Caenorhabditis elegans: one gene and its partner. The protein of the gene in region 1 purifies or fractionates together with the protein of each later gene. This does not show direct contact. Each region holds a gene or a part of one and is shown in the gene's direction. Other genes may lie near its edges. The genes, in order: srw-23 and sec-10.

Region 1 (14,939 bases):
TTGAGAAAAGTGTGGAACCTCCTTCTCTCATACAATCGAAATCAGCATTGTCTCGTGTCTGTAGACTAGTGACTAATCGCCAACATTTGCCATTGATGTAGTTGAAGCCAAAGGTGCAGCCAACGTTGTTGGAAGGTGCTGTGATGGTTAAGTTTGAATCCATGATTTTCCAGTTAAATTTAATAGAATTGGCAAAATTCGTAGAATTATAGCCGGCACTTTATACTCTACGTATAATAAAATAACCTTACCAGGTGTGGTGGTAGTGGTCAGGGGTCTGATTGTAGTCGAAGCGGTAGATGTCTCTGAAATTGAATATTCTATAATAATACATGTAAAACTGTGCTCAGTGGCTGTTAAAAGGGGGTTTTGAAAAATCGTTCAAGTGAATGAAGTAACCTTACCAGGTTTAATGGATCTTGACACCGTTCTAGTTGTAGATGAAATCTCTGAAAGTAGATACTTTACGGATTAATATACTCCATTAATACATATAGGTGAAGCTAAAGAAGCAGCCTATGTTGCTAGGGGGTGCTAATATACAGATTTTTTGGAATAACGACGGTCATTGTATGCTTAGTGATACGATAACCTTACTAGATATGGTGGAAGTTGAGAGTGGTTTGGTTGTAGTCGAAGCGATAGATGTCGCTGAAACTACATGTTCTACGGGTAGAGCTTCACCAATTTCAAATAAAACTTTAAAAATCAGTTGGTGCAACCGCTAGAATTACTTTCGTCCCATGAACGAGGTATCCTTACCCGCTGTGCTGGAGGTTGACAACAGTTTGGTTGAAGATGAAGCTTCTGAAAGTTGATACTTTACTGGTAGGGCTGGCAAAAATCAAAAGAATCTGGTAAATATCATCACTAAATCGGAAAAATTGAAAACCAAACCACATATTACGATCACAAAATACCGCTCCTGATCGTAGTAAACTTACCATTTGTGCTGAAAGTTGTCATCGGTATGTTTGTAGTCGAACTTGATAAAGCCTCTGAAAGTAAATGTTCGGAAGACACGGGATCAAAAAAGGTTCCTGTTTCGAATAACAGATCATACCTGAATTAGTTGAGTCACTTGTCAAGCTGAACACATTACTTCTTTGAAAATCAGAGCTTGTTATTTTATCTGGAAACCAAAAATTTATGGAAATTCACAAAGGTGTTGCCTACCTGCTGCACAAGCTGCATGATGCGTCGTAAAATATGTTAACAGAACAACTCCAGTTATAATAACAATTTCAGTGATTACTCCGATAAGTATAATCAACCAATGAAGTCTCAGAAACTGAATCCATTTTTCTGGCACTAAATGTGAAGCCGACATAGATCGAAAAGTTTTTGAAGAGACTGAAACAATCGGAACAATTGATAAGGAAATTAATTCACTTAAAACAATAATCCAGTGCGTATTAATGATGACTTTTTCTGCAAAGAATATATGAGTGCGTTTCTACAAATTGATAAATGTAATTTCAGACCAAAAACTTCCGGTTGTCTACAATGATATTCACAAGAAGGGACTCAAGTTGCTAGTCCAGCGAAAAAACATCAATAAATTCATTCAAGTACACGAAAAAATCCCAGGTGCAACTGACATATGAACACAAGTGGAATTATAGAAAAACTTCAAGTGGGTAAAATTCGCCAATGTACCATAAAACCAGTGAATCAAGTCGGGGCCAGTGCAGGCGCATCGATCAATATTCTACCTATAAAATCGTAGATAGTCATGATGAAGCGGACTTCATTTGCCGAGTGGATGGAGACCAGGTTCGCACATTTCTCAAGGCAGAAGTTCTGGGCCTGTGGGACTGTGAGATTCAAGTCAAAGCGGAGATAACATGATTTCCCTACCATCTTCAGAAAATTTTAACTACTTTGCAACGTGACCGGAAGCTCGTAAACAAAGTTCATAGGCTGAACGAAAAGCATATCCAATTTTTTATTATTGGAGGTTTGTATAACTGGTAAAACAAATAAATGGGTTAGAGGACGAACACTTATTGAGTAAACACCTTTTCATAGACAATTGCTCAGTCTTGACTTATATTGTTCTTGCCTCATATGTCTGCATTCAAACATGAACTCTGAATTTCAATTGTTCTTACTTCAATTATTTCAATTTTATCTTCTCAGGCTTATTGGAACCGATAAAAATTTTCATTTTCTGAACTTCCAGTAATCAAAAACGCTTTAGGCATATATTTATTTACAATTGACGTACTCAAAACAGATACGAGCTGATTCAACAAAATTGAACAGTGTAGGAAGCACTTGGCTGGCATGTGAACGTGGAACTCGCGTCGTCGTAAGCGTAGGAGTACGCTGTCGGGCACGCATTCTTGAAAAGCTGAGCAAGTGCAGAACGGGTACACGTTCTTGGATTGTTGTATTCATTACGACAGCATTCTCGATCTGACTGGTATTTGAGGCATGCAGATTTACAAGCGACAACTCTTCCATCGCGTCCTCTCACAATAAGATCGCCTGGGCAATTGGCGTTCATATCTGTGACACATCCTCCAGCACGGTGACATCCAGATACACCATGTGGTTGGATAAAAACTGGAATATTATATCCATCGACCATTGACACATCATAAAAGTCTTGTCCCGCACGGCCGTTCAATGTGAATTCAGCAAGGGAAGCTGGTGGGACACCTCCAGCTCCGTTACACTGTTCTGAGTTCTACAAATTAAAGAAAATAATAGCAAATGTTTCAAACAACTCACTCCACAGAATCCTGTCTCGCAGTTGAAGTTTGCATCACATCCGGTTCTAGCCCATATTCTTCCAGCTGTCCATGAATCGCTCACAGTGATATCTCTGGAATGTTCAGAGTGAAGCGTGAAGCCTCCTCCGGCCGGGTTTCCGGGCCCTTGAATTCCAGGCCAAATGGTGAATGGGCACCTGTTGTAGATAGTGATCTTGCGGGTTTCAGCGCCAAGAGCCAGAAGAGAGACAGCGAAAATGAGTTGTGCGAGAGCCATTTCTCCTACAGATGATCAAACGAATAGTTATCTGTTTCTGCGAGTGCCTGCTCAGTTTTAAATGCTGGAAAAAGGGGGAGGAGAGCAAGGATTTGTTTTGTTTGTCAAGTACTACTATTAGTGGTACAAAACATTAACAAGAAAATATTAGCTGAGCGTAACGAACAATGCTGGTGGAGGTCGTACTCATAGAGAGAACGAAAAAAGGTTTGGAAGAAAAATCCGTAAAAGAACAATTTCAGAATGTTGATATTTTCTTTCTTGCGGTAAGAATTTAGCAGCCCAGATTCCCAGTGGCCCAACGGACAATTGATTGGCAAACAAAGAGCAGCAAGGCTGGTCAGTTGCCAAAAGGTGGATGGAAACTTTATTATAATCTGATTTTGTTGTTGCTCCGGTGTAGTTTGAGCTATATACAAAAAAATTACTTTTTTCATTTTTCATACTGTATCTTTGTTTCAGTTATTCGTAAAAACCTTATAGGGTTCGGGACATTGCTTTGTATTTCCTCAAAAGCTTTTTTTTTCAACATTTTGACAATTTACCAAAACGTAGACCGGAAATTATGAAAATTCTAAAAAAGTTGGGAGTGTTTTAATATAATAATATTTGTTCATTTTTGACCATTATAACTGTATTTAGACAAAGCCCCCACTGGCGCTACTTCACCTTTCTACTCTTATTTAACTGATTAAAGGTTTTTGTTATGTTTTGGTAGTTTTCTGAAATGAATAATTGACATTTCCCTCGTCTTTTTGAAACAATATCCAGTTGAATCAGCACCTTGATACAGTATTTCTCGCCAACCTGTGCATCTTTTTCATTAAAAAGTTCTCTATCTTCTGTGTTTCCAAAAATCGTGCTCTATCAGATTTATCACATTCTTCTTATATCAGTTCCAAGTAACTTTATGATTTATTTTGAAGTACTCTGAAACAAAGTGTTCAATTTTAATGATCTTGTCACACTTGAAAGTTTCTGCACTATTGGTTTTGTGACATTTCTCTGTGTAGTACAAGTGGCAAGTGAATAGAACACTTCTGACCTGGAACACTAAACTGTATGGTTTTACAATAAAACACTTGCTAATACTAACTAACTATATCTCTCCAAATAGTTTTCTGAGTTTATCTGTTTCTTGATCATCGTTGCTAAGCCTAACTTACAACACTTGACCTTTGTTTCCAGAACCTTTTTCTCCGCCCACTTCTCAAGAACTTAACTTGTGTGGGAAACCATTTTAACCACATTCTTTCCTGGAAATGATCCTTCGCCATTTGACTCTTCTTATCCTTTTTCTGGTACTCCAAGCTGTAGGTTGTCTTGCGCAATATCGATTATTTTCCAGAAATTTCAGAATTCACAGCATTTCCATCACGGTGCAGCGAGTGGTGGTGTGACATCAAATGGTTATGGAGGTCAAGCCGTCAGCAACAATGATGGATGTAGGAGTGCTGATGGGAAGGATTTGTCAAGCGCTATACGGAAAATAGTTATCATCGGCTTAGATCTGGTATTACCCTAGTTATATCGTTTGTAAATATTATCAAGTTTTTGATAAAAAATTGAAGCACCTTTCTGAATATTACTTGATTTTCTGATAACTACCTATTTCACCTGAAAAACAACCTAATAATTATGTGCCTACTCACTTTATTTCTGCTCAAATGGGTTTTCAGCTGTATTCGGGTAATTGTGGCAAATTAAAGGTAAGAGAGAAAGTGGCATACGCGATTCTAGATTACGCTTATTGCAATTTTTTTGGCATTTTCGCAAATTTCGTTAAAAACATTCGGTCAAGCTGATAAATTTCGCCCAAAAAAACAAAAAAAAATTGTTTCAAATTTGGACAAAAAAAAACAAGTTTTTTTTTATAATATCATAACTTTTCATAATTTTTCATAACATAAATCAACTAAAACATAACAGTTTTCAAAAACTATGTTTTTAAATGTTTTTTGGTCCGAAAAAAAAACCAAAAAATCCATATTTGCCAAAAACACCAAAAAAAGCCAAAAAATCAATTTTTGCCAAACCACCAAAAAACCCAAAAAATACCCAAAAATGTCATTTTTGCCAAAGACACCAAAAAAAAAACAAAAAAAAAACAACAGCCCTCGTGGGCATCTTCTCGTTTTCGCTTTCTAGAAAAGTTCATTCCCAGTCATTTTCTCAAAAATGGTAAAAATCGGAACCCCAACCAATATCAGTCGCTGACATCTCACGGGTTCCGCACCTGACTATGTTTACCCCACTCAACTCTATAGGTAAACATAGTGGAACGAGGAACCCGTGAGATGTCGGCGACAGATGTTGGTTTGGGATCTTTTTTCAGAATTTTTTACTTTTGCTTTTGATTTCAAAATACCCAAAAAATATACATATATCTTTTAAATTTGAAAATTTCAGTTCTCTCTCGTTAGATCCTTATGGGTTCCTCTCGGTTTGATCCTCATGTGTTTCATAAATCTTCGCTTTTTCGAATGTGCTCTAAATGCTCCATTTCTTAAATCTTTCCAATCTCGAACCTACAACTTTTCAGGGCCGATGCTCATACCCTTACCACCCGTCAATGTTTCAACGGCAAATCCCAATGACTACTATGGGTTTGTCTACAATGAGTACGAGTATGACTTTCCAACTGAAACCCCCACATTGAAACATAATATCCAATACGGAATTCTCGATTCGAACGTTTTTATTGGAATCCTTGCAATTATCCTGTGCCTCGTTCATTTAATGATTCTATTGAGGAAATCATTGAGGACAAGCGGAGTTTATGTGTTTATGATTGCTATTTGTGTTTCGGATATTCTGAATTTCTCGCTTGCGTATCCAAAAGATGCAATATACTATAAACACAGCTGGTTCCCAGTACCAATTCACAATAATAATGGAGACGAATGCGTTAAATATGGATGGATAGAAGTTGATCTAGTCGCCCAGGCAATGGAACTTGCACATAATGTCACTAGAAGATTATCTATCTGGTTGGCAATGGTGATGGCATCGTTAAGAACGTTGGCAGTGGCTTTTCCAATGAATAATCAGATTCAGAAGCTCGTGAAGCCGGGAAAGGCAGTTAGCATGGCTATTATTTTGCTCATTGTGTTAATCTCCTATGACATGTTACTTTTGAAATCGAGGATGAGCTTCTATTGGCTTCCCGACGATACTCGGTATGTTTGGTTCTTCTAGAGGACCTTCTATGTTCACCTGTTTAGGCTTAAGCTTAGGCTTAGGCTATTCTTAGGCTTAGGCTTAGGCTTAGACGTAGGCCCTTTTTACATAATACTCCCAGGTGTATACTGAAACCAAGACTCCAACGCTATGTGCTAGTAATGCCAGCAAACGACGATGCATATTCAATAAGCGAAGATCAGAAATCCGTTGAAAAGATTTTCCGTGTCTTTCAAATAATTCTGTACCCACTACTTACAATTTCACTGGTTATTCAACTGAGAATAATCAAGAAAAAGAGGAAATCAATGCGGCAGAACGAGAAGTCGGATAATACTACGTTATTAATTCTTGTGATGACAATTACCTTCATGTTCTCGGAAGGATTAATTGTGGTATTCAGTCTCCTTGACATTAAGGGGAAATTTAGGCACGACATCTTGGATCGATTATACATATTTGAGAAAGACGAAATGTGAGCTTTTAAATTAGTTTGAATTACCACGCAAACAGCGGCGCTGGCCAATCAGGGAATAGTGTGGTCAACGTTGTTAATTGGTTGTAGGCAGAACATGCGAATATTGGTTGCTGTCTGCTACACTCTACGACTCTTCAACTCAATGTCCCATATTCTCGTTTGTGTATTAATGTCTTCACAGTATCGGGACACTGTGAAATCGCTTGTTCTCTGGAAAACAATTTCCAGGTTTTTGAAAGATCGAATTTTGAAGGGAAAAGCCATAAGTGACACAATGTATCCGGCGTCTGTTGCTGAGAAACTCCATTGATTGAGAAATAGGTAAATAATGAGAAAATTTATCATCTGTTTGCGCAATGACGTTCCATGCCAAAAAAAAAATTAAATTAACTGCTACCTGGATGATTATAACAGGATTGCAGTTGCGTAACTAAGAAATGTCTCAAGTGTGGATTTAGAAATTACCCATGTAAAGGAGTAGAAACTGTGTACATATGTATATGCCTTTTCCAAACGTCCACTCATCTCGACCGCAACTTCCTGCCCAAACTAAAGTGGCGTTTCAACTATTTACTCATTTTGAAACAGTTTAACAGACATTTTATCAAAGATAAAGTATAACACAAAACGTGTATACATATTTGCTTAATCTTCCTCATCTTTATCTACTATAAATACACCTACATGTTTTTCGAACCTCCATATTTTCTACTCTTAACATAACTACAGTGATGGACAGGGCTTTTCACTCGAATGTTACCACTATTAACTGCAATAACATTATTTGGAAGAATCGAAGCGAACGGGATAATAGTGTTATCAACAGCAAGGTTGGTTCACAATATTCGTATTCCTCTTATTTCTTTTTTTTTTCAGAAAATTGTCTTAAGCCGAGCTGAGGTTGATAAACGACGAATTGAATCAACTTTCGCTCAAGCTAATGAAGAACATAACTTGCACATGAGTCGTATGATGGAATTAGCAAGGGTAGAAGTTTGATCACTTTAGAAAAAAAATTGAAAGGAATAATTTACAGAATATCGCCCAGAAGAAATGATTTTGGAACCGAACTTTACATTCGAAATTTCATAAATGCTATTGATTCTTATCCGTTTAGACTAATTGCCGTTACTGGTGTATTATGTGCATTGAATGTGTTTAATTTATAGTAAAAAAGATCCAGTTCATCACACAAATTATTTATTTTATCGGAAATTGCAAGAAGTCGTGGACATTTTTACCAGAAAAAAAATAAATTCAATTAAAGGTGGAGTAGCGCCAGTGGGGAAATTGTTAGAAACTACTCCAATGGTGGCAAAATGACCGAATAGCATAATTAAAATTTTAGAAAATTTTTTATTCACTGTGAAAAAAGTGGCACTTACCCAGTTTTTGCTAGTCATAATTTTGGAAGTCGATCAAAAAGAAAGAAGTTTTTCAACATTTTTTTATACTTCAATTTTGTTTTAATTATTTGTATCAAAACATTGTAGTGGCCGGAACATGCGACATTGCTTTGGATTTCCTCAAAAGCTCTTTTTTTTTCAAAATTTTGTCATTTGGTCAAAACTTGGCAATTATGAAAAATCTGAATTTTTGGAGTGTTTTATTATGATACCAGCTCAGCTTTCCAGATGTTTTCAAAGCAATATGAATATTATATGACTAAGTGTTCAAGAGTTACAACTTAAAAAAAAACTCTAGTTTCCTAGAACTACTTCTGAATTTCATGAACGTTTCTAGATATTCTTCATGTCATATGATCATATGAAACTTTTTCACGTTCCTTCCGAAAGTTTTTGGCAAACGTCATTTTTTCACATTTTTAAGTTCATGGCATTTATACAACTTTTGATCTTTTTAAAAAATTCTAGAAATTTCAGAAAATTTTAGAACGCTCCACGAACTTCTAGACTTTTCCAGAAGATCATTCCAGAGTTTTGTTGAATTTTTAGAAAGTTCTGGAACATTTCAGACAATTCTTGAATTTTCTATAGCGATTTAGAACATTCCAGAATTTTCCCGCTTTTTCTAGAAAGTTCTGGAACGTTCCGGAGTTTTCCCGATTTTTTTTAGAATTTTCTGGAACATTGAAGACTTTCCCCGATTTTTCTAGAAAGTTCTGGAACATTCCAGAATTTTCTCGATTTTTCTAGAAAGTTCTGGAACGTTCCAGAATTTTTTCGAAATTTCCAGAATTTTAGAATTTTAGAAAGTTTGAATTTCCCACCAAAATATTTTTTTCAGAAAATTTAAATTTCCCACCAAAATATTTTTTTCAGAACATTTGAATTTCCCGCCAAATTTTTTTCACTAAAAATTTGAATTTCCCGCCAAAATTTTTTCACTAAAAATTTTAATTTCCCGCCAAAATTTTTTCACTAAAAATTTGAATTTCCCGCCAAAATATTTTTCACTAAAAATTTGAATTTCCCGCCAATTTTTTTCACTAAAATTTGAATTTCCCGCCAAAATTTTTTCACTAAAAATTTGAATTTCCCGCCAAAATATTTTTCACTAAAAATTTTAATTTCCCGCCAAAATATTTTTCACTAAAAATTTGAATTTCCCGCCAAAATATTTTTTACTGAAAATTTGAATTTCCCACCAAAATATTTTTCACTAAAAATTTGAATTTCCCGCCAAAAGATTTTTCACAAAAAATTCGAATTTCCCGCCAAAATATTTTTCACAAAAATTTGAATTTCCCGCCATAATTTTTTCTCAAAAAATTTGAACTTCCCGCCAAAATAATTTTCTCAGAAAATTTGAATTTCCCGCCAAATTTTTTTCACTAAAAATTTGAATTTCCCGCCAAAATATTTTTCACTAAAAATTTGAATTTCCCGCCAAAATGTTTTCACTAAAAATTTGAATTTCCCGCCAAAATTTTTTCACTAAAAATTTGAATTTCCCGCCAAAATATTTTTCACTAAAAATTTTAATTTCCCGCCAAAATATTTTTCTCAAAAAATTTGAATTCCCCGCCAAAAAAAAATTTTCTCAGAAAATTTGAATCACCACGAACATTTTTGAATTTTCTCGAATTTTCCAGAAGGTTCTTGAACATTCCAGAATTTTCTCGAGCTTTCCAGACGATTCTATAAAGAACATTTCTCGAATTTTCTAATTTACCTTCAAAAGACAAAAAGTCAATTTTTTCCTAAACTACAGTAATCTTACAGTACTCCTACAGTACTACTACAGTACCCCGACCATATCCCACTACTAACCCCAAATCTATATCTCTTCAAAAGACAAAAACACAATTTTTCCTAAATTACAGTAGTCCTACCGTACTCCTACAGTACCTCTACAGTACTACTACAGTACCCCGACCATATCCTATCACTAACCTCAAACCAATATCCCTTCAAAAAGCGAAAAGTCAATTTTTCCCAAACTACAGTAATCCTACAGTACTCCTACAGTACCTCTACAGTACTACTACAGTACCCCGACCACATCTTTCCACTAACCCCAAACCAATATTCCTCCAACAGCCTAAAACGCCTCGCCTCTGTAAGCTGTGACGTCACAGACTACAAAGACTACATAGGCTACAAACTATGGACAAACGGAATAAGCGCTTTATTAATAGTAAATGATGATGATTCAACATAAGTGTATTTAGACAAAATCCCCATTGGCGCTGCTCCACATTCGGGGAAATTGAGCACTTCATTTTCTCTCAGTAGCTGCTCCATTTTGATGTAGCAACTGTAAAATTATGTTTTTCTTTCGCATTTGGGTTTTTGATACAAACTTTGTCAAGTATAGCATTCTGCGCATCTTGTTGTTTTCTTTGTTCAGCCAACATTTCATCCAGTCTGGCAATATGTTGACGATCGGCTTCAGATCTCTTCTCAACGCTGATCACCTAAATTATTTGATGAAGGATAAGATTTTCTGTAAAACGCTGTTAAAAAAACTAAAGTTTAGTGAGCAGCCGACAGCTGGCGAGGCCACATTTTACTTTACATCTGATAACTAAACAGAAAATTATAAATGCAATTAAACACTATTCAATAAATTTTTTTTTTGTAAACCTTGAAAAATCAAGAATTCTAAGCGGTCCTATCGAAAGCATGCACACTGTACCTGTTGATTACTGTATTTTCGATTATTTTCAAATTGTCTACTATCAATAATGACGTTGTTTGAATTTATAGTATTTGTTTCTTTAAAACGGAAAAATCCTCCTGATGATCTTTGCTCTCGGCCATCAGATGATGAGTGCGGACTCTGCAAGAATATAAAACACATTTAAAACTGGAATGAATAAATTACTGGTCTTTCCCTGTTGTTCCGCTTTTTATGACTTTCAAATGCGTCATTTGCTTCTGAACTCTCGTGCTTTATATCACTGTTAACATCTGAGAATGGATTGGCTCCAAAGGTAGTTGATCGATCAGAAGGATTTGATGTCGGAAAATGCTGAAACGTCAATAATTTAAAAATTGGCACAAATTTTTTAGTTAAAGCTGGAGATTAGTCTGTGAGAAAATGATTTTGAAAAAGCGGGGAAAATTCACTTTTCACCTATTTTTTGGAAATTTCGATAAAAAATTGTATTTCTAGTTTTACGTTTATATTATTCATACGTCACAATTGTCATGGTCGAACATGTGGCTGTGCTAAGTATTTTTTTAAGTGATGCTAACCCAGTTTTTCCCACATTTTGAATCAAATGTGACAGATGTTCTACCTGTGTCGTCCTCTGACGCTTGTTGTCAATAGTTGTATTGTTGGAATTGATAGTAGTCTTTGAATCATAGCTGAAATGCACAGATGGATTTCCACGTGGTTCGGATCTAGACGTATAAACATTCTGAAAAAAGAAACGTTAAATAATTGCGTCTATGCAGCATACTGAATACCTCAATCCGGGAACTATTGCCACCTGGAATGTTGTTGGAGTTCGCAATTGTTTCCACACGGATATCGTGGCTAATATTCATGGTTGGAGGCACTTGTTCATTGGATTCGTCAAAATGTGTAGAGCCCATGCTCTGAAAATAAGCAGTTTAACGAATGAGGATGCCAATGGCCGTTGGGAAAAAAAGAACAAAGCTGAGGAAGAAAGGTAAAAAGAACTTCGACGAAATGTTTGTTTGGAACAAACATAACAAATAAAGTTGATTACGAAATTTGTTAATTTCAATACTTCCAGAGCTCAGAGCTTTTTCAAAAAGTGACAATAGAAAACCTTTCGCAACCCTGAAAATGATTTGTCAGCAAGAACAGAGAAATGCTGTTTTTTGGTTTACTTTTCCTCTGATCTTGCTCACTGTTGGCAACTCTAACCGATAAACCCGAGGTCTTGAAATACACAGAAACTGTCTCATTGTTTACATTTGCTGAACTATTTGCACTCACTTTCAAGTCTACTAGAGATCGAAAATTTTTGTTTTTGTTTTTTTGTGCTTAGATACCTATTAAAATTGATTCTGAAACAATAATCCCTCTAGCGCGGTTTAAATTGAATTTTCATGTTCAAAAATGTACCCATAATATTTACAAAAAATTGTCTATCCAACGGCATATCGAGTCTACTAGAAATGTTGGAGCAATAGCAAGTATCTGCAAGTTTATTGAAGCTGACCTTGTGGTTTTGTTCTATTATTGAACTCGAACGTCATTGCGCAATCAGCTTTCGGATGTGTAAACAGACTAAATCATTCGAGTTTCCATTAGGGTGAAGCAGTTTTAAGATTTCTCAGTATTTATCTATTCTTGCTCAGTTTATTTTACTTTAATTACTCCCATTTGTAGACCTTTACTTAATATACATCTATATTTTTTCAATTAATTCTTAATTCACTTTTATTGCAGACAATCAAAAGTCATGGGTTGGCCCGTTGATGGACAAACTACAACTAACAACAGTGTGGTGAGACCTTTCCTTACTGTTTTCTGAGTCAAAAACGTCAAACCAACTTTAGGATCTAGAATCTCGGGTACGTAACCAAATTGCGGATCTTGTCCAGAATACGGAGCAAAAATTCAGTCAGCATCGTCAAGCAGTTATAGCGCACGCAAAGAAATTATCTGATGTGAGTGTTTCTAGGCTTCCGAGAAATCAAATAAATATTGTTCAGGAACTTGAAAAACAATTGGAGGACGAAGCTCAGGAAATGCACAAACAGTCTGGTGGAAACAGTGCTTGACATAAATTATAATAATGCTCATTTGATGTTTGGAATATTTTTCAAATATATTTGGGAATTTTGAAATATATTTCAAATATATTTGTGAATTTTGAAAAACATTTCAAATAATTTGGGAATTTTAAAATATATTTAAAATATATTTGGGAATATATTTCCAAATCTGGTTTAAATATATTTCAAGTATATTTGAAATATATTTGAAACAGATTATTCTGGACAAGATTCAGAAAGATCCATCGAATACTCTGATTTCTAATAATGGTATCTCTTTTTCCAAAAAATTCATCTACAGCTGAAATGAGATAAAAAGATATAATAACGACCAATAATGCTCTCAACATCTTCCGAGAACCTCTTTTCGGCTCCAGCTTGTGGACCGTCTTGCAATAAATTGTTTCCGATGTTATCATATTCAACTTTTTGATTTTATGGCTAAAATACAAAGAGAAAGTTGAGATGAAAGGTGTTTTGTATCCTTGATCAATTCTGCGTTGTTTCATTTATTGTAGATCAAGGATTGTACATAGATTGAGTATTGTCAATCATCCTATGTAAAAAATGCAAAGAATATACATAGCTTCATTATTCAAAATTATAGATATTTGCTTTAAATGGATAAGAATCATGAATATCTGTGTATTTTAAAACGTAGAGTGAGGCTCCAGAATCATTTTCCCTGGGACAGTTTCTGTAAACAGTATTTTCAGATTTTGTGTCTGAACATAAAGCTTTTACCGTTGCCAAACCAAATATACGCGACATGTGCTCGTTATGTTCTTGTGTAGTTTGAGCGATAATCGAATCAATTCGTTGCTCATCCTTTTCATTGCGGTTGTGGATGATTCTCTGAGAAATATGAATTTACGCGAATACGTACACGAGGAACCAACCTGTCTGTTGTCAACACGATTATCCCGTTCGCTTCCGCTGCGTTCAGTATAATTATCGCAATTAGTAGTGGTAGTAACCTTGGCGTCGATAGCCCAACCCATAATTGCAATTAAAACAGGAAATATAGTGTCTTGAAGAACATGTAGGTGTATTTATGCGAGATAAAGATGAGGAAGAAATAGTAAATAATGAGAATGTTTGTGGATTATTTCATCTCTGAGAAACACGTTTTGGACCAAACTTTACTTCGGAAAATAAGTAAACAAATGAACCTCTTCCTCTTGTTTTTCTGTATTAAAAATAAATAGTTATCTCTTCAACTTGAAAAAGGTTCTCTAGGAACGATATAAACAACTCACCGTGCGTAAGCAAGACCAAATGTCAAATAACATCTCGAAAACTGGCGAGACCAAATTTTGAGTGAGTCTATTGAAAATAAAATGTAGTTTGTTTTAAACGTCATTGCGCATTCAGCTTTAGGATGTGTACACAGCGGCAGACCAACCCATCATAGTTTGTTTTCATAAGACAGGCTAATTTTTCATTATTATTTGCTCATTCTTGCTCAGTTTATTTTTCTATAAATACTCAGCCCGCAACCCTTACCGTTCAGTGCCGTTCGAAATCTATATCATTCGTTTTTAATCTAATGTTTTACAGAAAAAATCATGGGTTGGGCTATTGATGCAGAAGTCGATACCACAGTGAACGTGGGAAACAAAAATATTGACAAGCAAAACCTTGATAATAACTCGCAGGACAATAGACAGGTGGGTTCTCGGAAAAAGTGATTGCTAAATGCTTTCATGCTTTCAGTTTATTCGCGGCGGATACATGTCGACGGAATTATGCAAAGCTACCGACGAGCAATTCAAAAAAGTTCTATTGATGAAGATGGCTAACTCGATGAATGGCGATGGTAAACAAAAATGAAATTCATTGTAATTAATCTCATGGAATGGGCTGCTACATGTTTTTATTTCAATTTCTTATACTTTTTTTTGTGAAAATGCATAACTTGTAAATGAAAATCATCACTTATAAAATTGTGGCAAGGTTTGCTTGAGCGGGTTACATTTTTGAAACCTCGCGCAGGCCCAGAAGTTGTACCTATATAGTTACTTTGGACGGTGTCACGGTTATAGCATTCCAAAGAGATTGGCTAGACTACTTACATTGGAAGTTGAATTCACAAGAACTACAGTTAATTCGACAAACCG
Region 2 (16,287 bases), on another chromosome or scaffold:
TCCGATGTCTGGAGGAAGTTCTGAAAGAGTTCAGAGATCGGTGAGAAGTGTCGTGGAGACGAAGAATAGTAAGCTGAAAACGGTAATTCCAGAATATAACTTTTTTTTTAGATATTAAGTATGGTGTGATATGTGATGCTGGGTCAAGTGGCACACGTTTATTTGTGTACACTTTAAAACCATTGAGTGGAGGACTAACTAATATTGACACATTGATACATGAATCCGAGCCTGTTGTTAAGAAAGTTACTCCTGGATTGAGCAGTTTCGGTGATAAACCTGAACAGGTTGTAGGTAAGTTTCAAATTAAAATTTGTTTTTATTAATCCTAAAGTGTATATTTTCAGAATACTTGACTCCATTACTTCGATTCGCTGAGGAGCATATTCCATATGAGCAACTTGGTGAAACAGATCTTTTGATTTTTGCAACCGCTGGAATGAGACTCCTTCCAGAAGCGTATGCATTTTTTTCCCAGATAGAATTGAAAATGTTTCAATTTTTCAGACAAAAAGATGCGATTATCAAAAATTTGCAAAATGGCTTGAAAAGTGTCACTGCTTTAAGAGTTAGTGACTCAAATATACGGATTATTGATGGTGCTTGGGAAGGTATATATAGTTGGATTGCAGTCAATTATATTCTTGGTATGTTTCCATTTTCAATTTATTCTATTATAGTCTTGCGCCTCATATTAGGGTTGTGCGGCACTCGAAAGCGATTTTGCTTGCTACTATAAGCTATAGTCCAATATTTCACAAATTTGTTCATTTGATGTAGGAACTGAAGTTTATTAAATCTCAAATTCTGAATGCAGTGAAAAGAATCAGGATTCCCCATAAAACACCAAGAACCTAAGTTCCCAAATTCGCAAACACTCCAAGGTTACTGTAGATATTTATTTCAAAAGAAGTGCGCGCGGCGAGACCGTTTCGAATAAATGAGCGTTCCTTGAAATTTATAAAGCAAGTTATAAAAAACACTTTAATACTGAAAAAAATGATAATTGAAATATAATAATTTAGTTTTTTTTTCCTGATTGAAATTTTAAGAATAAAACATATTTTCGAAATTTTAAAACATTATTTATATATTTTTGTGTTTCAGGCAGATTTGATAAAGAGAATGATTCAAAAGTTGGAATGATTGATATGGGCGGTGCAAGCGTTCAAATAGCATTTGAAATTGCAAATGAAAAGGAATCGTACAACGGCGGAAATGTGTATGAGATCAATTTAGGATCGATTGAAACCAATGAGGACTACAAGTATAAGATTTATTCTACCACATTCCTTGGTTATGGAGCAAATGAAGGCCTGAAAAAGTATGAAAATTCGCTTGTTAAATCTGGAAATTCAAATGATTCGTGCTCTCCCAGAGGTCTTAACAGGTTAATTGGAGAGTTCACAGTTAATGTAAGTTTAGAAACTACTATTTTTTCAAATTTATTCAAATTTACAGGGTACCGGAGAATGGGACGTTTGTCTTGCACAAGTATCATCTTTAATCGGTGATAAAGCTCAACCTTCTTGTCCAAACCCAACATGTTTCCTACGTAACGTGATTGCTCCATCAGTTAACCTATCAACTGTTCAATTGTATGGCTTCTCAGAATACTGGTATACGACAAGCAATTTCGGATCTGGTGGCGAATATCATTATCAAAAATTTACGGACGAAGTTCGAAAATACTGCCAAAAAGATTGGAATGATATTCAAGATGGATTCAAAAGAAATGAATTTCCCAACGCTGACATTGAACGACTTGGAACAAACTGTTTCAAAGCTGCTTGGGTGACCAGTGTACTTCATGACGGTTTTAATGTGGATAAAACCAAGCATTTGTTTCAGGTATGAATTTTTAAAGACACATCTTACATTCAAGATAAATATTTTCAGAGTGTTCTGAAAATAGCCGGTGAAGAAATGCAATGGGCTCTAGGAGCAATGCTTTATCACTCAAAGGATCTCAAATTCAACCTACTAGAACAACTTGAAGTTGCGCAATCTACCCAACAAATATCAAATTTCTTCTCATTTTTTGTCATTCTTATCATTGTACTGGCAGTTGCTTTATATCGCCAACTTCAATCTGAATCTACGTACAAAAAATATAATTTTCTGCGAACCGATTCTAAACCGGATTTTCTAAATGTGTAGAGCATGATTTAACTTATAACAATTATAATTTATCATTATTTTCATGTCAAATGCAATAAAAAGGTGTGACTGGTCTTTTACTTTATATTCAACCCGATTAAAATGATAACTAAGTTTCGTCACTTCACTTCTAGATGAATCAGCGAAAGGCAAATAAGGAAAAGGAGTATTTTATAAACTCGTCGTCTTTGAATCGTCATTCTCTTATCACTATATTTTCAGTATTTGACAATGAGCGGCGCACCACCACCACCGCCACCTTACAATCAAGTGAGTTCGATCTTTGAAAAAAACTAAACCGAAAATGATTCAAGGCTTATAACGCATATCCACAACCTCCACAAGGTGTCTACACAGTACAACCCGGTGTTCCCATCGGACAAGGCGTTCAACCAGCATATGCAGTATATTATCAACAGCCTCAAACTGTCATGTGAGTTCTATTCGATATTTCGCGAAAAATTAATAATATTGACTTATTTCTTTCAGAGTTGACGACTGCCATCACCATCATCATCATCGTGAACGGGAGCACGGGGGAGGAGGAGGCGAAATGTGTTGCTTAGCTGGTTTAATGGCTTGTCTATGTTTTTTGTGTTTGAGCAAATAATTTTAATTTGATAATCTGGTTCATAAATTTGCAATTGATATATAAAAATCAATTGAAACTTTGACTGGTTTTGCTATTTCTACTTAGAAATAAATTCAGCACAATTCTACTTTCACATTTGTATGTATATTTTCAGAAGATAGTTATCATTTCGGTTTTTTTATAAAACATATTTTAGTGGAAACATGCAACAAGGCATGCTTTAAAAAATTAAGTGTAAATGTGATGCATTCGAGTTTACTTTTTATTGCACAATTTCTGTATTAATACATGTATCCGTTATACAGTGCAACAAATTCGGCTTATTTATAAAATGCATTTATCAAAAAGATTAATTGCAACTGAAATTTTCGTTCGAATTCGCGCCGTTATCTCACCCCGACATTAGGAAATCTGCACAGCTGAAACAAGTGTTACCGTACTACACGCATCGCGAGCAGCTGCGTCGCGTTTATTGAAATCATTTCGCGCGCGTTGCTCTCGAGCTATCTCCGTTTCACACTTATTTTTGTTTCTCAATAATTATTTTTTGAATATTCAAACTTCGTTCTTTTGCAACTTCATAAATTAATTTGATTTTTCAGTATGGACGCCAAGGTGTACGTCGGCGGTCTGCCGAGTGATGCAACATCACAAGAAGTGAGTTCAATCTTGAGCCATTAACAGTAATTATGTAAATATACATTTTTCAGCTCGAAGAGATTTTTGATCGATTTGGAAGGATCCGTAAGGTTTGGGTAGCTCGTCGCCCTCCTGGATTTGCGTTCGTGGAATACGACGACGTTCGTGACGCTGAAGATGCTGTCCGCGCTCTTGACGGATCGTAAGTTGTTTGCTTTGGATATTCGTTTAATGCTTCAAAATTATAGAAGAATCTGTGGTGTCCGTGCTCGTGTTGAACTTTCAACTGGACAAAGACGTGGCGGTGGCGGTCGTGGTGGAGGTTTCGGCGGCCGAGGTGGTGGCGGAAGAGACAGGTTAGTTGAAAATAATTTGATAGTTAAAGGAAAAGAGAGCTGTATTAAAAATTTTATTCGGTAAAACCGTGGACCAAATTTTTAATTTTAGCGGACTCCGCTCGTCCGCGTCCCCATCTGCCATCCCAAACATCACTATCTTCCACTCCTCTCCGTCTTCTGTCTTCACGACACATTCTTCTCTTCCACATCGCTACGCGCCCTTTACTTCTCCCAAAATCATCGCACCAGAATTGTTTTTGACTCTTTTCATCAGTTAATTCTCCGCAGTAGTTCCTGAATCGAGCTTCTGACAAAATCGTCTCATCATGCCTTCGTCGGCTGAATCTTCCCATTCAGTAAGAAAGTTACATCTACCTTTCTTTATGCTGCCATCTGCAGGAAAGATGTATTCGACAAATATGCAATATTCGGAATGTTTTAACATTGTTTATTTCAGATCGCCATACCGAGGAGACCGTGGACGTTCCCGTTCACGCTCTCGTGATCGTGGACGTGATCGCAGCCGCGACAGAAGCCGTGATCGCAGTCGTGACCGAAGCAGAGATCGCAGTCGTGAACGCAGTCGCGAAAGAGAACGTACTCGTTCAAGGTAAGAGTTTTGGATATAGTTATTTAAATTTAAATGAGAAATTTCAGATCTCGATCTCCTCAAGAACGTGATCGTTCTCACTCGAAGAGTCGCTCCCGCTCTCGAAGCCGTTCTCGCAGCCGTTCTGCTTCTCCGCACTAAATTGTGGAAGATCCAAGACCATACAGTATCTTCTCCACAACATCAATTTGCAACCCTAATTCCTCCGAAGAATCTCGAATCAATGATTTAAAAAAGTTTTCACTAAATTTAATTTCTTTGTTGTTTAACCGAATTTTACCATTATTACCTTTCACTGTTCTGTCTTTTTTTATTTTGTTCCTCTTTTTGTAACCTAAAATCGTGAACTTTCATCCATTTTATAAACTGTTGTCGGAAAATAAAAGTAATATTTCGGTAATTTGTGAACGGGGAAATCCAGGGAGACCTTATTTTGTGCGACTTTTTGCTCTGTGAGAGCGTTTTCGAATGTGTAAACAACTGCTTGGAGAACTAGAGAGCAGCACGTGTTTGTGGTGCTCTTTAAAAATGTTGGTCACCGGCCAGCAGTAGAAGATTGATTTTCCCACACATTCTTTATTTCTCTTTATGTGTCGTCCCACCGGCAGCAACGCACGTTTCTTTTTTGTTTCGTATGGCAAAGGATAAACAGGTCTTTATATAGTACGGTTCTACTTGATTTCTCTTCGTCTCTTGCCATTTTTGTTTTCGTATCGTCTCACAGTTAGCACGTGCTATTCCCAGAAAGAAAAAGTATGTGTACTGATTCAAAAAAAGCTCAGGATTCGCCACCAAAAATGCGAGACGACGTGGCAAAGATTGCCGCATCGGCGAGCATTTTAATTCTTTCATGGATTGTACTTTATCACTCCTGTCGAAGGGCATCTACAATTTACTTTTTCGAGGTTAGTTTTTAATAAAATATATTTCTTTAAATTAATTTTAAAAAATTGCAGCTCGATTCAACAACTGTAATATTCATGGATCAGGTTCCTGCAATGATTCTCCCATTCGTTTTCTCTATAGTCTTGTATTTTGTATATTTGGGAACTAAAAGAAGCGCCAATATCGAACGAGACAGAGAAATTGCTAGAGAAGCTGAAAAAGAACTCAAGGTGATTCTACTAGGAAAATGCTGATTTAATTCAAAATTTAAAAAATACAATCACTAGTTTTATGTAAAATAGTTAATTTTTCGCTCTAATTCCCTTTCAATTGTTGAAAATATCTTTCGAAAACTTCTTGAGACTGTCATTCTTGTCAATTAAACTCGGTCTGGTAATCAAAATCAACCAGTTCAGCGTAATTCCCCTTGATTTGATTGATTAATCGATTCATTTCATGATGTGATTGTTTGTTTCTTCTTTAACAGAAAATTGTTTCAGACATCCTCTTCATTCAACTCTCGAAAGGTTTCCCGTGAGATCAGCAGGCGTGCTTCCGTTTCATTAGGAGATGAACAGGCAGAGCAACAGCAAAGAATTCGAAGTAAGATTATCAAAATTGAAGGAAACTGATAAATTTATCGTCCTATCATATCAAATTTCTCTCATTTATTTCGAAATTATACACATTTGTGTTCAGAAAAGTTCATTCTACAGTGAGAGAAATCTAGTAGATAGTAATTTCAAGTGAGCTCGAAATTTCCTTTAATGACCTACTTATAAATTTGATTCGTATATATATATAATTGTTATTTTTCTAGGATTGCTATCAGATATTGAAGAAGCAGACATCGAAAATACAGTTCGAAGCCATCGTCAACGAATGGAGGAAGAAGATATTGCACCGAAATATGTGGATGATAATGAAAGTGGACAAGATACACCTCCTCCAAGAAAGTTAACAAAATCGAGATTTGTAGTAGAAAGTGCAGAAGATGGCAGTAAAATTATTATTCCACCAGGTATTATTCCACCAATACAAGTGCTTTCAAAACTCTTCAGAATTTTAAAAAAGGGAAATAATATTGACATCCGAAATATATATTTTTGAAAAAATATTTTATCTCGAAAAGTGGAATTGACAATCAACTCTGTAATTTAAAAAAAACTACCGCAACTAAATCTTCAATAAATTAAATTTTTATGGAAATTTGTTTTTTTTTAATTATAATTATTTTAATCATATCACTTTTTCAGAATCGTCATCTGTTACACCAGAAGTTCGTAGTCGTACTAACTCAAAAAGTACTCATGATCTTATGACAACACACAGAGGATCTTCAAGCAATTGGATATCTGCAAGTCAACGATCAAGCAGAAAATCTTCAATGGGTGGATCACCAGATAAAAGTCAAATTGTATGGACTACCGGAGAAGAAGGTACGACGGCCGAGAAATGTGACATTTATAAAAAACTCGGAGATGTAAGTTTTCTGTTTTTTTAAATCAAATTTTAATTTAAATCATATTATTTCAGATTGACCTATTTTCCTATTCACTAAGTGCGTTGAGCCTACTTCCGAGGAGTGATGATGGACCCAGAGTTTACATTCAACTTGAGTGAGTTTTTATTTGATAAGGAGCAAAACAAATAGTGAAAATTGAACTAATAACAAAAAGTGCAAATGAAGATATTTATAAATTGGTGTTGAAAAAAAACATCTTAACCAGGCTTGGGAGCGTGATTTGATGAATATATTGGGACATTTTTCTTAATTATTGGTTTTTGCAGCTTGTAATTTCGAAACTTTTATTTCATAATGTGAAAACGTTCATTTTATTCCAGACACTGACAACTTCTCAAAAATTTTATTATGCAGAAAAAATAAATTCTAAAAAAATCCAAAATGTTTTGCCAACTCTAGACACCAGGAAATTTCATTTTAAAATTGTGCGAATACCCACTTTTGGAGCAAAAAAAGAATTGAAAAAGGATGCTTCATGGATATATATTTATGAAATACAATCAATAACTAAAAATTTGAATTATTTTATTGTTATCAAAACTTCAAAATAAAAACGTTCAGTTTGCTCGACATAATTGCTGAATTGTTTGCTGTTCATGTGCCTATCTGGGCATCCGTTGCATGTATTCATATAATTCTTTTGGAATCATTCAGTCAGCATATGTGTAAGTTAATATTTTTAAAGCTGAAACTCTAATCTCATAATTTTACAGCATTCTACTTTTATTATCATGAAGAATCAATGATGTACGCTTCTCTTCTTGTATCTCTCTCATTTGGACTTTATCATGAATGTTCTGGTAATTGGATCTCTAACGACATTCTTGCTTTTGCATCGATTTACGTCGTGTGTTCAAGAATTCAAGCTGTGAGCTATCAAACTGCAATTATATTTGTCATTGGAATGTCGCTTTTTGATCTTTTCTTCCTTTATGTGGTGGATCTTTTGAGTAAGTTACTGGAATCGTAGTCTTGCGTCCACGAAAACGCTGGAATGTTTGCCTTTATAAACTTCAGTCTCTGTATAAAAATTAGCAACTTTGAAAAATTAGCACCTGATATCGTGACGAGACCCACGCGGAAAACATCATGTGCCTTTAAACGGACATGACAAAATTTCGCGAAGTTACGATACATAAAATTGAAGTGTTCATAAACTGTACTAAACATTTTTTAAATTGTTTTACGAGACTGACTGAAATAAAATTTTCGATTTTGCGATTTTTTACATTGTTTACTTTTTAATATAGATGTTTTCAGGCACAGTAGTCAAAGAAAATCGTTCTCCTCTCATGATCCTTGTACCTCGAGACACAAAAGGAAATAAACAAAGTCTCGCTGCACTTGATATAATGGTTCCTGGAGTATTTCTAAATGTTGTTCTCAAGTACAGCTCAATGTATGATACAAATCTTTTTGCAATCACGTTTGCCGCAGTCTTTGCATCACTGGTTTTCTCAGTTTTCTTTTCTATATGGAGGTAAAAACTGTTTTAAATTCTACTTCTTACAAAATACTCTTTTAACAGATCAAAAACAACTCCGGCTATGGTTCTCCCAGCAATTTCTGCAATCATCTTTTCAATTGGATTTGCAAATCATACCGACGACTTATGGAAATTTATGATTAAACACTAACAATCGATTCAAAATTAATGTAAATAGATAATCTTACTTTTCTACATGCTTGTTCATATTCATATCTGTATTTAAATTGTTTATTTTGACTTCCGTGAAGATCAATAACTTTTCGTCTAGGGTACATTTCCACTTGCCATTTTTAATTCATCGTTTTTTCTGATGAATTATTTCTTAAAATAAAATGATTCTCGGATTTTTAGTTGGTTTTTTTAACATAAATAATCCAGTAAAGATGATCATAATGTATTCTTCGGAAATATATTCCTTCCGATCGGAATTCCATGAGAAGAAATAAAAAAATGACACAAAAACTGTTCCCGCAAGTGCGCTCTATCGAACGACCTATGTACTCCACTCGGAGAACTCTAGTGTTGAGTTCTTTCGGCAATTTCTCTCCTGTTTTTATTTGTTCTTTGCATATATTAATGATTTTAACGTAACATTTAATTAAACATTTTTTTAATAATATCAGCAAAATCCGCTGTCAAATATTTCATAAGATGTCACCACTTCGTCAGTTTTCAGTGACTGGTGCCAGCCTTCCATTCGATTATTTAGTGTAAACTTATTTGTTGTTTACTCCATTGAACACATTTTCTCTAATACCCCTCTTGAGCCAAATCCCGACAATTTTTCAGGAATGTCAGATGGAATAACTCTCGATTTTGCCAATCAAATTATCCAATATTGTGCAGAAATTCGAGAATTGTACGAAATTGAAGAATACGTCCGACAGCCGAATGACCATAATTTACTAGAGTTTCTTTATGATCTCAGTACTTTTTTGCTTGAATTAGGTAAGGAATGAAGATAATACAATTAATTTATTTCGTTTTCAGAATGTCCTCATGAAGAACTGACATGCGGTGATATTAGAACACGTTTCCAATCTTCATCAGCAAAGAAGCTTCTTGAAAGTTTTCTTGATTCAGAAGTCAAAACTGCTCGTCTCATTACTAGACAAAGAATTGAATCGGGTGAAATTGTAAGTTTTCTTTTGAAATATTGCATTTAAGTTGCCAAAACACAACTGGAAATATCTCGGATTTATCATTAATCACATTTTCTCAAATTTTTGCTTTATATTTTCTATTTAACTTTGTTTTTTCTTGCTTTTTAGTCTCAAGTCCCTCCACTTCGACCTAAATAATTCATTAAGGTCTCCGAAAAACGTGATCTCGAACTGACTCCACTTATTGATTCTGCCCTTCGAACACTCAACTTCCCTAAACAAGCAGGAAATTCTAATGAATGGAAACTCTTGGAAACTTTGAGACAAAAGGTATTAATAATTCATTGAAGAAACCCTCTCAAATTCTATTTTCAGACAGATGGACGCGTTTCCCAAAGTCAAAGACATCCACTTTTCAAAGCGACTCTTGATGAAAATACACTTCCTGAAATTGAAAAACAGTGTGAATCGTTTTCTCGTGATTTTTACAATCGACTTCTACTTCTGAACAGTCGACTCAAGGTCACAGTTGAATCATTTTTATGGAATGATCGCCTCAAGATGCACAGAGAGAATATTCAATCAATTCTTTCTGCTCGTGTCGATGAAATTGGACGAGTTAAAGCGAACAGTGACGTAGCTCATCTTCTTTCTGCAAGTTCTTCATTGCTCTATATTCAAAAAGCGTCATCTATGGATAGAAGGTATTTTTATAAAAATGTATGGTAAAAACTATGAAATTGTATTTTCAGAGAACGAACAAAAAGCAAACAACATCCACTTTCAATTATGGATGCTCCAAAAGATCGTGGAGGACGCACAGAAGAAATGGTTGGAGTGAAACAAGAATCTTTCAGACAACAACAACATACTTTTGGTAAGTTTACTCATTGTTAATTGCGGAAAATTTCTTGAAATAACTATTTTCAGATAGGCAACATTCCCAAAATCGACAAAAAAGTACTTTCGACCGTCCAAAAACTCACGAGGAGCAGGTTTGTTGTGTTCAATCTTTTTCTAGCCATTGTGGCGTCATTAAAACATTGCTCTTATCAACTGTCATTTCTAGGTTCTCGAACAACACACTTCACGAGACAATAGTGGACAAAATTGGAGAGGAAGAGGTCGTGGAAGAGGCAGAGGACGAGGAGGCGGACGCGGATATCATTGAAATTTGATGTTTTGTCGTTTCTTATTCTTTTCAATTCATTCGGTGTTTTTTTCAAAATGGGCTCACAGTTCCTTTTTGTTTTAATTTATGAAAACTGTTTATAAATTGAATGTTTTTCTTTTTTTTGAAAATGGTTGTTTTCCAGTCAAATCCCTCTCACTCGTTATTAATTATGTATTATTCGTTAAATTTATTGGTCTTCTCATAAGTTAAATTACAGACCACGGCTTGCCGAAAGGCAAAAAAATGATCAGCTCGCCAGCTCGTCTGGCTTTTGCCATGATCGGCAGAGCGAGCTCTCGAACGCTTCTAACAAACCATTCTGTCACAAGTATCCGTCTATCGACTACAGCAGCTTTCAAACATCTTGATAAACTGATAATTGAAACTCCAAATGATGCTATGGAAATTGCAAGTCGTCTGACTATCATTGAACAACAGATGTTGAAATCGGCGTTAGACGATTGTTTGACAAAGAAAGAAGATGGGAAAGTAGAAGAACTTACTCAAGAGCAAGTAAAAGGAATATTTCTAGTCAATTCTATTCCTTTTATTGGATTCGGTGTTCTTGACAACATGATTATGATCCTAGCTGGCGAGTATATTGATCAAAAACTCGGGGCCGTTCTAGCTATATCAACTATGGCAGCCGCTGCACTCGGAAATCTTATCTCGGATATTGCTGGCGTTGGTCTCGCGCATTATGTAGAGGTTGCAGTGCAACGAGTTGGAATTAAACATCCTGTTTTGACATCTCAACAATTGGACAGTGGAAAGGTGAAAAAGGATCTATTGATTGTTTTTCAAAAAATGATAAAAAGTGTTAAAAATTTTATTCACACTGAACTTCTGCCCGAATAAATTCAGTCTGCAGCTGCTGCATGCAGCAGGGGTACAAATTGTGCCAATGTGGCATGTTTTCTCAATTTTTTTCAATAAAATTTAGTGATAGAATTTAGAAAAATATTTGTTTTATCTGATAATGAAGTTGAAAATTGCCGATAAATTTTTGAACGTTTTTTTACCAGAAATGTTCAACTACTGAACGAAAATGAGAAAAATAATCGTCTTTTTTCACACTCTAGAATTTTTAACTCTTTAAATTTAAAAAAATGATTTCAGGCCAGGTTCACAACGAATGCTGCAAGAGCAGCTGGTTTAACAGTCGGATGCTTACTCGGAATGTTTCCATTACTTTTCTTCAGCGACGACGAAGACGATGAAAAAAAGAAGAAAAAAGAATTGAAAGCAACTAAGCTTGAATAGAATTAGAATTTCTCATTGTAAATATTTAACTTTTGTTCAAAATACCTAAATGTTTCTGTATATTGCATAATCTTGTCCCTCTGCCAATACTAGTCAATCATTTCTATTTCCCTGTATGCCATTTGCATTTAAAAATTCCCTGTTATTTGCTCAAACTTCAATGTGCTTTACTCTATTTTATTCTTTAGTATAAAACTATCAGAACTGATAAGGTTTGAATAGATTATTTAATTGGTTCTTTATAGCCGTCGTGTATATTTTATATTCAAAAGTGGTTTTTCATGCTTTAGGAACAAATAATTACAGATGAGTGGTGGACAATATGTGACATATGTACAGGATCTAGAACAGGAACCGTTCGACGCAATTGATCTTGTTGAAAAACTGGCATGGAGAATGACCGGAAGTGCTCAGACTATAAACGATCCGGTTTCTTTGAAAATGCGATTCGAGGAAGAAATTGGCAGTTTACAGATGCTTTGTGATCAGTTTCAGGTTATTTTTCAATTTTCTGTTCGCATTAAAAAAAAGTGGAAATTTTTAGAACAAAATCAATACTCTTGAAAAGCAAATGAACGAGGAAAAGAAGGATTATGTACAAAAACTTCACCGTCTTCACGAGAAAAATGGAGAAGCAATTGATAAAATGAAACAATTAGATCATACAATGCAAGCAGTCTCTACAAAAGTTGTTCATCTTGGTGATCAACTTGAATCCGTCGATCAACCACGTTCACGAGCTCATGATGCTCATCAATTGATGCAACATTTCGATGAATTCCTCTCAGATCAACCTCTCAATTCCATGATTTTCACTGATCCTGATAAGCTTCTCGAATCTGCCGATCTGGTGCATAAGCTTTATTCAATTTCTCAGGAACTCAATAAGGACAAATTTGCAAATGTTCAAGCTAGAATTGGACAAAGATATAAAGTTGTCGAAGACTTGCTAATCGAAGAATTCGTCAGATCTCAACGAGATGAGAAGAAAATGGCAGAAGTTGCGAAGATTTTGAGCGAGTTCAAAGGTTATTCGGGTTGCGTCGATCGATACGTCGATTTCTTGTGTCAATCAATTCATCCACGTGGCGATGGTGGAGAAATTCTAGCGGATTGCTTGCAATTATGTCGAACTCAACAACCAAGAATATCTGCAATATTTCCATCTCCACACACTGTTATGCAGAAATTGGTTCTGAATATTTTCACAGGACGAATGAAAGAAACAATAACTGCAAGACTTAGAGAATGTAAAGATACAGATGATCAAGAACATTATCTCCGTGATTTGGCATATCTCTATTCGAGCACTTTGAAAATGTGTAAAGAATTGGAAAAACTTCATATCAGCCCAGACAGTGCATTTTTATCAACTCTCACTGACTCTATTTTCCAAAGATACATAGCTACGTACTGCTCGGAAGAGTTGAAATATTTGAATGATCAATGTTCGAATCTCCTTCAAAGATTCTATGAATCAAAAAAACACGTAAAGAAACAAATTGGAGGTGGATTACACGAGTTGAAACGAGATGTGGCTGCAAGATTAATGAATGTGGAAACTTATGGAGGAGAGACTTTTGTCGCTGAAGATGTCGCCATTTCGATTCTTCAAGAAACCAAAAATGCGTTTGGGCGGGCAAATCAGGTACGAATTTTGATGTTTTGAAACTGCAAAAAATGAAAGAAAATTTTAAAAAGTTTGAACGCTCTCTTGTTATAACCTAAATCTACCGTACTCTCCTACGTGACGAGACCGTCGAACGGAAATTTTTAAAGCAATAATGAAGTAACAAGATTTTTTGCAACATTTTGCATAAATTCTTGGTACTTGATTCTTTTGCAAAAGGTTTAAAAATATCGTCAAACACGAAAAACTGATACAAATTCAAGTCTGAAACCCGCCTCGCCGAATTTTTCGATATTTCAAAGTAGTTTTCAACAATTCCAAATTTCAAATATTAGTGCTGGGTTACTGTAGTTTTCAAGAAAAAAAAACGTTTTGAGCTTTTTACGAGATTTTCAGTGTCACCTGTGGCTTTCAGCAAAAATTTTTCGACCAAAAAACGAAAAAATTCAAAATTTTTCCTTTTTCCGACTAAAAATCAACATTTTTGCAATAAAATTTGTATTGGTTCGAAAAAAACCAAGAAACCCATTTTTTTTCCAAAAGAAACCAATAAAACGGTGGGGTACTGTATTATTTTGTTTTAATTTTTCTTTAGGAATATTCAAAAAATATTCAAGTTTCCGAGTATATTTCCTAAAAATTGAGAGTTTTGAAATAATATTCGGAATTTTTTTCCAAGCTTCTTTCAAAATTTTAACGTATAAAAAACCTAGCATTTTTGCAAAAATAAATTCGAAATTTCAACTTTTTTGCAGTTATGTGACAAAGAAGAGCTGCCAAGACACGTGGAAAATATCGTAGACGTTCTATTAAAATATCTTTACGGAGAACATTTGGATTATGCTGTGGAGACAGGCTTGGCTGGAATTTCTCTTGCAGAATCAAAAACTGAACCACCTGCCTACTTTTTCTCGGTTGTTGCAAAATGTACCAGTGTCATTTTACTTATGATTAAACAATTTGAAGATCCCATTTTCCCTATTATCAAGTGAGCTTAATTTTTATTAGAAAACAAATAAATATATTTTATTTCAGAGAAACAATTGTCGAACCATCTGTTGCCAAGAAATGGCAACAATCTCTGCGTTCTTTGGAATCAAAAATGAGTTTAGGATTGGAACGGCAATTGAATTCAATCGTAGGATACGTGAAATTCTTGTTCAGCGAACAAAAGAAAACTGATTTCCGTCCGGATTCTCAGCAAATTGATATTCGAGTATCCCCACAATGTCAATTGGCATCTCGTTTTCTTGCAAACCAAGTTGCTGCAATGGAGTTGGGATGTGATGGCGAAAATTTGGAAGCACTTCAATCTGATCTTGCAACTCGGCTATTCAAATTCATGCTTACACATATTCAACAGTTCACATATAATTCTACTGGTGCTGTACTTCTTCTTTGTGATGTTGGAGAACTTCGAACTCTTGTATCAAAATGGAGAGTTCAAAATGCACTGACACAATGGGAAAGTCTTCAAGCTCTTACCAATTTGCTCGCCGTTCTTCCCGATCAAGTTAATGAAACAGCTCACTCCTCGTTGCTCGAAAATGTTGATAGACAATTGATTCATGATTTTGTTCGACTTCGAACCGATTTCCGATCTATTAAAAATTTCCAAATTTAGTTGTTCAAATATATTTATTGCCTTTTTCGATTTTTGTGAATGTCTATTTCTTATCCAGATGCTTTTTTCTTGTGATAGATTGGATTTTTAAACTTAATCTTGAAATTTTTTTAAATAAAAACTAACACTTAATACCGTTGCGGGTATTCTTGTAAATAAAATGCTTGCTTTTTTTTTTTAATATCTGTTTTTACCCAAGTTGGTAGATAATTCCATCGCATTGTTATTTGTTGTTACCAAATTGTGAAATGTTGCTTTTATTTAAAAAAAAAACGCTTTCTGCTCTCACCACGGAAAACAATTTTCAAATAAAGGCTGCGCTAGGGCTGACCCCAAAACACAAGAAATTAATTGTTTTAAAACCCAAAAAACCAACAAGAAAATTGTTTTTTCTCTTCTTTAAATTTTTAAATTTTGTTTTTTTATTCGAAAAACCCCAAAAAATCTAATAAGATTTCAGAATACTGATGAATGGGTTACTGTACTTGTAAAAGGTTTTTTCGTGTCTTGAATGAATAAAAAGTATTCTTGGAGATAGAGCTTACTTGTGAATTACCTTATTTTGAAATAAAATATTTCGTTTCAGAAATGGACGAAGAAAAAAAAATTGCACAACGTCTGAAAGAGCAGGGAAACGAAGCTTTTAAGAAGAAAAAGTATCATAAGGCTATGACAATCTATTCGAAAAGTCTTGAACATTGGCCTGATCCAATTGTATTCAGTAATCGAGCTCAAGCTGGGCTCAACGCAGATCTTCCTCTACTTGCCCAAATCGATTGTACTGCTGCACTAAATTTGGATTCAACTGCAGCAAAAGCTTACTACAGAAGAGCTCAAGCCTTCAAAGCACTGGAATTGTATGAATTGGCTGAAAGAGATATGAAAACTTGTTTCAAATATTCGAATGATCCAAATATGGAGAGACAAGCAAATGATCTGAAAGGAAAGAAAAATGTGCAAGTTATTGATCTTCCGTCAATCGAAAGAGACGAATATCTACAATCAGATGAAAAATTCACAAAAATCGACTTTACGTACAATATTGAGAAGATCGAGGAGATCATTGTCGCTGAAGAACCAGAGAATGATAATATTGTTCCAAAGTATATAACAAAGCTTCCACCACACCCAAAGGACTATCAAGATTTTGTTGGAGCTGTGAATATGTTGAAAAGAGCCCAAAGTTTGCTTCCTCTTGCAGAATATTTCTTAGTAAGTTGGAAATCTGTGACGTTTCAGAATTAATCGAAATTTG

What was found.
Region 2: the proteins of srw-23 (region 1) and sec-10 fractionate together in Caenorhabditis elegans (co-fractionation; one large-scale study listed by BioGRID). This does not show direct contact.

Annotation. Positions count from the first base shown.
Region 1 is NC_003283.11:16,868,491-16,883,429, forward strand, and holds srw-23 (G-protein coupled receptors family 1 profile domain-containing protein), read left to right. Parts: upstream 1-5,451; coding exon 5,452-6,176; intron 6,177-6,298; coding exon 6,299-6,652; intron 6,653-6,742; coding exon 6,743-6,965; downstream 6,966-14,939. Other genes in the region: clec-33 (C-type lectin domain-containing protein), read right to left, coding at 1-138, 252-305, 405-449, 763-807, 945-998, 1,064-1,132, 1,177-1,330; thn-4 (THaumatiN family), read right to left, coding at 2,252-2,695, 2,740-2,997; F49A5.10 (uncharacterized protein), read left to right, coding at 7,387-7,485, 7,532-7,654; F09C6.3 (uncharacterized protein), read right to left, coding at 10,337-10,375, 10,422-10,535, 10,757-10,900, 10,946-11,092, 11,364-11,486, 11,536-11,664; F09C6.14 (Small hydrophilic protein), read left to right, coding at 12,504-12,548, 12,601-12,711, 12,757-12,825; F09C6.11 (Transposase), read right to left, coding at 13,496-13,516, 13,564-13,674, 13,719-13,820; F09C6.12 (Flagellar rod assembly protein/muramidase FlgJ), read left to right, coding at 14,388-14,489, 14,536-14,652.
Region 2 is NC_003282.8:7,778,297-7,794,583, reverse strand, and holds sec-10 (Exocyst complex component 5), read left to right. Parts: upstream 1-12,084; coding exon 12,085-12,273; intron 12,274-12,322; coding exon 12,323-13,426; intron 13,427-14,163; coding exon 14,164-14,396; intron 14,397-14,443; coding exon 14,444-15,032; 3' UTR 15,033-15,203; downstream 15,204-16,287. Other genes in the region: Nucleoside-triphosphatase ntp-1, read left to right, coding at 1-68, 112-294, 348-459, 508-647, 1,108-1,415, 1,462-1,851, 1,900-2,160; C33H5.13 (CYSTM domain-containing protein), read left to right, coding at 2,392-2,430, 2,475-2,593, 2,650-2,770; rsp-6 (putative splicing factor, arginine/serine-rich 6), read left to right, coding at 3,356-3,409, 3,463-3,593, 3,640-3,747, 4,187-4,339, 4,387-4,480; imp-3 (IntraMembrane Protease (IMPAS) family), read left to right, coding at 5,095-5,244, 5,296-5,454, 5,725-5,827, 6,045-6,245, 6,481-6,707, 6,761-6,843, 7,311-7,414, 7,463-7,699 and 2 more; tag-322 (uncharacterized protein), read left to right, coding at 9,030-9,186, 9,229-9,374, 9,549-9,671, 9,717-10,045, 10,094-10,218, 10,272-10,336, 10,411-10,512; tag-321 (Transmembrane protein 65), read left to right, coding at 10,759-11,289, 11,635-11,778; rpap-3 (RNA polymerase II-associated protein 3), read left to right, coding at 15,621-16,244. UniProt on the Caenorhabditis elegans protein: Component of the exocyst complex involved in the docking of exocytic vesicles with fusion sites on the plasma membrane.